Linked DNA regions of Kluyveromyces lactis. The protein of the gene in region 1 interacts with the protein of each later gene in a pairwise test. Links are inferred from orthologs where the notes say so. Each region holds a gene or a part of one and is shown in the gene's direction. Other genes may lie near its edges.

Region 1 (2,837 bases):
CAATTTTGGGAAAGCTCTTGGCTCTCTGGCAATTTGTGTCCTTAATGCATCAACATGATCTTTATAAACATGCGCATCACCCAAAGTGTGAATAAATTCACCAGGTTCCATATCACAGACCATAGCAATCATCTTCGTCAGTAGCGCATACGACGCGATGTTAAAGGGTACTCCTAGACCCATATCACATGATCTCTGATAAAGTACACATGACAATCTTGGTTTGGCACCTTCTCCCTTGGGGAAACTGACGTAAAATTGCGAGAAAACATGGCATGGCGGTAAAGCCATCTTGGGGAAATCCGGAGGGTTCCATGCAGAAAGAATTATTCTTCTGTCGTATGGATTTGTCTTCAACTTATGAATAATCTCCTTCAACTGATCAACACCTTGACCACTATAATCATCATCACATGTCTTATATTCGGCCCCAAAATGTCTCCATTGGAACCCGTAAACTGGTCCTAAATCCCCCTCTCTTCTGTCAGTCAACCCAAGTGAGTCCAGGTACTCACGAGAACCGTTACCTTCCCATATCTTAACGCCTTGTTCTGATAATTTCTTCCCGTCTGTACATCCAGCAACAAACCATAAGAGCTCCAAAATAATACCTTTCGTAAACACTCTCTTCGTAGTGAGAAGCGGGAAAGTATCATTGCTCAAATTAAACCGTAACTGTGGAGGCGCAAAAAGGGAATAAGTCCCTGTACCAGTTCTATCTGGTCTGAATTCTCCCTCATTGATAATCCTTTCACATAAATCCAAATACTGCTGTTCTTCCGCGTTAACAGCCTCAAGCTTAACTCTCTTCACGTTTTCATCGCTCAGCGTCATGGTTGACAAATGTTGGTTGTTTAATGATCCGATAAAACGCCAAAGGAGTCGAAGGATGGTTGAAGTAAGATAGAGTTTAAACTAGAGATGGCCTTTAACTCTTAAAAGCCGTAGTCTGATTCTTAACGCGTTTTCGTGTTGTGGGAATTTTTCAATGGCCGGGTAATGATGGTGAAACAATGTCACGTGCTACCTAAATTCTTAATTCCATCCTCGATGAAGCTTTGGTCTGGCAAACGAATGCGAATCAAATTTAACCAAAGGTTACTTTGGTTAAGGAGGTACCGTTCTACTGGTAATTATACTGTCTATTAACTGTCCAATTAGAGGCAACTATCGTGTGTGTTTACCCTATCTAATCTGGGACTATAAGCGTTCCTTGTTCAAGCTTTTCTATGTTGAGTAAGTGTCAAAAAGAATATATACAAAGAAAGTGACTACCTTAATATGAGTAATAGAACTGAGCTCTTCAAAAAGTACATGCAAGTGATTGCAGAGACTCAGGGAATTGATGATGCTAGGAACGAATTGAATAATACGAAAGCGAGAGAGGATAGAGAAAAGGTGAAGGAAAAGTTTAGTGTAAAGGATACTTTTGTAAAAGAAAGTAAGCAGTTGATGAAACATATTATGGAATTCCAGATAGTGATAAGGCAATTGACTCCCAGGTACGAAAGTGCTACTGACATGACTGATCAGGAGAAAGATGATTTTGATACAGAGAGCAAACTTCAATTACAGCAATATTTCGAGAAATATAAGCAATTGGAATCGTATGAAAGACAGAGACAAGAAATGATGAAAGAAAAGTTAGAGAAATGGTCCGCAACCGTACCATTTTTCTCTAGATCAATTGACGATGTATCCAGTTTCCACAAGGTGAATAATCAATTTCGTATGGGTATATTACAGTCATTGAATATGTGGCTCATGAAGATTTCAGATAGGTTGTCAACCATTCAGCAGACACGATTATCCAGACAAAGACATATCGAAGCCATTGATTTCAATGCTCAATTACACTTACCTGAAGAAATTTCTGTATCACAGTCTCCTATGATAACGACAACTGTTGAAGAAATCAAACAGTACGAGGAAACGATGTCCAAACTCTCTTCAGAACAATTACAAATCTTGGCCACAGAGCATGAAGAACTTCTTAATTTGAAGAACGAAGAATTACAAAAAGCAGAGGCACTACGGAGAACCGCAGTAGATATTGCATCGCTACAGAGTGAATTGGCTACACATTTGCAGGTTCAAACACAAAATATTAATACATTGCTCGATAATCAGACTGACGTGGAGATGGAAATGGAAAAAGGTAACAGACAGTTGAAACAGGCCAACAGGAAAGGAGATAGGCTCGCTAACATGGTCATGTGGTTTGCTATAATTTGTGGACTGCTATTGTTATTCTTCGATTACATAAATTAAGGTTAATTCGTTTCTCTCTGTTGCAATTGCTTACTACACGGTGATACGTAATGGTGTATATATGTACGGTAAGTTTTTAATAATCTAAAGATTTGATCAACGCAGCTCCGATTGTTCTTCCCTCCTTTCTTAGAACCACCCTTCCTAACTTCTTATTTTGCTCGAATGTTAGCATTGGGATTCTTCTTTTTTTCTCCACCAGCTCGATCTCAACTATGGCAGCTTGTTGAGAACCCAAATGCTTCACTTTCTTTTTTAAAACCTTAGATGGATTACTTTTATCGACAGTACAACACAATTTTTTGATTCTACAAGGTTGTTCTGTAGCACCTCTAAAGAGCATGAGCGAGGTACCAGGTAATAACGGTCTATCCAGCCTGAAAGTCAAGAGTCTTGAGGTAAATTCTTGGGAGCTTGGGATATCAAATCCAACGATAGATGCCAAATCACCACCTTGAATATCTTCAGGGAAGGCGTTATGCAACTTCAATTGGACAAAGTCTCCATGTAATGCAATATCCACTTTTTGAGAGTCATTGCCGCATAATATTGAATCAACAACGCAA
Region 2 (3,748 bases), on another chromosome or scaffold:
ACATGTTTTGATTCTAAATGTTTCTTTGGAATATGAGAAGACGGAAGTCAACTCTGGTTTCTTTTACAGCTCTGCTGACCAACGAGACAAGTTGGCTGCTAGTGAAAGAAAATTTGTTGATGAGAAATTAAAAAAAATCATCGACTTGAAGAATGAAGTATGTGGTATGGATTCTAAAGAGGGTTTTGTTATCATAAACCAAAAAGGTATCGACCCAATGTCATTAGATGTTCTTGCTAAACACAACATTCTTGCTCTAAGAAGAGCCAAGAGACGTAATATGGAAAGACTACAACTCGTCACTGGGGGTGAAGCTCAAAATTCCGTTGATGATCTTTCGCCTAAAATTTTAGGTTATTCCGGATTGGTTTACCAGGAAACTATCGGCGAGGAGAAATTTACTTACGTCACCGAAAACAGAGATCCTAAGTCTTGTACCATTTTGATTAAAGGTTCTACTCACCACGCTTTGACCCAAACCAAAGATGCAGTAAGAGATGGTTTAAGAGCTGTTGCAAATGTCATCAAAGACAGTGCTGTCGTTCCTGGCGCTGGGGCATTCTTCATTTCTGCTTCCCAGCACTTGAAAAGGGCGAATATGAACAAGCTAGGCGCCAAAGGTAAAGCAAAAACAGGTGTACAAGCCTTTTCAGACGCACTTTTGTCTATTCCTAAGACATTAATAAAGAATTCCGGATATGATGCCCTTGATGTACTTGCCCAATGCCAAGACGAGTTGGAAGAAGATGAGACAAGAATAGTGGGTGTTGATCTAAATATTGGCGACTCTTGTGATCCAACTATAGAAGGTGTTTGGGACTCTTATCGTGTCCTCAGAAATGCAGTAACTGGTGCCGCAGGTATAGCCTCTAACTTGTTGCTATGCGACGAACTACTCAGAGCCGGTAGATCTACATTGAAGGAAGGTCCACCACAATAATGAAGCTGGTACAATTAAAAAATATCACTGTCTTTAACGTAGGTTCCAAAATCAAATAGAATTATGTATACTAAATGGAAATAAATACGAAGTACAAGACTCAAGTTTGGCCGATGTATATGTAATATGCGATCTCTTCACGAGTGCTATAGATCCAAATCTACGTGTTGGCCAAATACCGTTTCCATCACCGAAAACGAAATACTAATATACTTCAAAAAATGATTAAACATCAAAACTGGAAGCACCTTTATAATAAACAGACACACCAAAAGTACAGAAAGTACGGACGAGAGTGAAGTCATTGACTGCAAACCATTGAACAGCATACCTCATCGGGATCACATATATACCAGAGTAATATGCTGAATTCAGAATTGTCCTTAAGAGACAGACAGATTCTGTCTATTGAAAAGATGCTACTGTTCAATTCAGATAAAGGAACGGAAGCAGCAACAAGCAATCTTGATGAACAAGAGATCGTTTGGAAAGTACTGATCATGGATGCTAGGAGCACCGCTATAATATCATCTGTTATGAGAGTCAATGACTTGTTAAAATCCAATGTTACAGTTCACGCCCTTATCACACAACAGAGATCCCCTTTACCTGATGTTCCAGCAGTGTATTTCGTGGAACCAACAGAAGCGAACATCGATGCGATTGTCCAGGACTTGAAAGAAGATAAGTATTCAGAAACATACATCAATTTCACAACTACATTGAAAAGAGATCTTTTAGAAACCTTTGCAAGCAAGGCTTCTGCTACTGGCAAGTCTGACAGAATAAAACAAGTGTACGATCAATATTTGGATTTCGTTGTAACAGAACCGGAAATGTTTTCATTGGAGATGCCCGGCACTTATGGACTTATTAATAATCCTCAGAGTTCTGAGGACGTTATCACTAATCTATGCGATTCAATTGCTACTGGGATCTTCAATGCTATCGTCACAATTGGAACTATACCTATTATTAGAGCACAAAGGGGTGGTGCTGCTGAAATGGTGGCTCAAAAACTTGAAACCAAACTGCGTGATTATGTCAATGGTACCAGATCTTCAGCTAGTGGATCAACTTCATTTGAGCGGTTTGTTCTTGTTATAGTGGATAGAAATATTGACATTGCTTCTATGTTTGCACATTCCTGGATTTATCAATGTTTGGTATTTGATGTTTTCAAATTATCAAGAAACACTATAACCATGCCTACCACCAACGAGCAAAACGAAGAGGTTATTAAAAAAATGGATATAGACCCAAAAGATTTTTTCTGGATTGCCAATTCTCATCTACCATTCCCTGATGCTGTCGAGAACGTGGAAACTGAACTTTCGAATTACAAAAAAGATGCAGAAGAAATTACCAAGAAGACTGGTGTAAGCAATTTGACAGATCTTGATCCAACAGGACAAAGTGACACTATACAAATTCAAGAAGCTGTGAAAAAATTACCACTTCTCACAGCTAGAAAATCTACCATTGATACACACATGACAGTTCTCGCAGGGCTTTTGAAACAGCTTGAAAGCAAAGGCTTAGATTCTTTCTTTGAGTTGGAACAATCTTCCGATTCTTCTAAAACCAGACAAGATTTCCTTGCTGCTCTTAAAGATGGAAAGACTAACAACATCGAAGATAAGGCGCGTACGTATATCATAATGTACCTGACAGCACAAGAAATATTGCCTAGCGCCTTTGTCAAAGAAGTGGAGCAATATTTCCAAAGCGTCGAGTATGATATCAGCGCATTAAAGTACATATATGATTTGAGACATATGTTCAAACTCTCTTCAATGGCATTACAAAATAAATCATTAGAAACGCATACATCCGCTAATTCAGAAGGCCAGGACGGTAACGCATCACAGCTTCTCTCCGGACTATCAAACAAGTTATATGGATTAACTGAGGGGAAAATACAAGGTGTTAGTTCTCTTCTTTCTGGAATCAAACAACTTCTTCCCGAGAAGAAAACGATTCCCATTACCAATATCGTCGAAGCCATCATGGATCCATTGAACAGCTCAAAAAAGAACCTTCACATTACAAGTGAATATCTTTACTTTGATCCTAGAAGCACAAGGGGTTCGCACGAGAAGCTACCAAAGAGTCAGACATATAATAAATCCTTGGTGTTTGTTGTAGGTGGCGGTAATTACTTTGAATACCAAAATCTTCAAGAATGGGTTCACCAACATGAAAATAGCAACAAGAAGGTCATTTATGGTAGCACTGATATAATCTCCCCTAACGGATTCTTGAAAGAGATCTCAGGATTTAAAAAGTGAGGTTATAATATAGATTTATGATTTTATTTGTTGTCAGTATATATTTATAATAAACTTATACTTTGATGAAGTAAGATGCCATGTTAACACGAAATTAAAGTTACAAGTAATTTTCAGATTGTTCCAAGATCTTCGTAGACCTTTTAGCATCTAAAAATAATAGCTTTGCTTCTTCAACATCTGCCACCGATATTTCGGCGCGGTTTGCAATCTTAGCAATGATACCTGATGGTGATAGAAGCTGTAGAACATAACGCAAAGAAGTTTCTGTGCCTAAAGTCGCCAAAAATTCCAATGCTTCGTCCTCCACCTGCAAGTTCTCTACAGCAGCTCTCTTTGATATGATTGTTTTGATCTCTTCTCTGTTATAAGGTAGAGTTCGAACAATTAGGAGTCTATCTATCAAATCTGGTGGAACACCGTGAGGAGAAACAACGTCGTCAGTGCCGCGTACGGTGATCATTCCTCTGTTTGAGGCCAAAACAACCACAGGTGCAATATCAGATTCTAATGCTCT

The links. The genes of interacting proteins can lie anywhere in the genome.
Region 2: the proteins of UFE1 (region 1) and SLY1 interact in binary tests that used the Saccharomyces cerevisiae proteins (3 or more experiments, as listed by UniProt). The link is inferred for Kluyveromyces lactis from reciprocal best matches to the Saccharomyces cerevisiae genes UFE1 and SLY1.

What each region holds. Positions count from the first base shown.
Region 1 is NC_006037.1:696,623-699,459, reverse strand, and holds UFE1 (Ufe1p), read left to right. Parts: upstream 1-1,281; coding exon 1,282-2,271; downstream 2,272-2,837. Other genes in the region: CDC21 (thymidylate synthase), read right to left, coding at 1-834; ribosome dissociation factor GTPase HBS1, read right to left, coding at 2,348-2,837. UniProt on the Saccharomyces cerevisiae protein: Syntaxin required for targeting and fusion of Golgi-derived retrograde transport vesicles with the ER.
Region 2 is NC_006040.1:1,557,433-1,561,180, forward strand, and holds SLY1 (syntaxin-binding protein), read left to right. Parts: upstream 1-1,302; coding exon 1,303-3,231; downstream 3,232-3,748. Other genes in the region: chaperonin-containing T-complex subunit CCT6, read left to right, coding at 1-940; RVB1 (RuvB family ATP-dependent DNA helicase pontin), read right to left, coding at 3,332-3,748. UniProt on the Saccharomyces cerevisiae protein: Able to suppress the functional loss of YPT1. SLY1 is essential for cell viability. May interact indirectly, or directly with YPT1.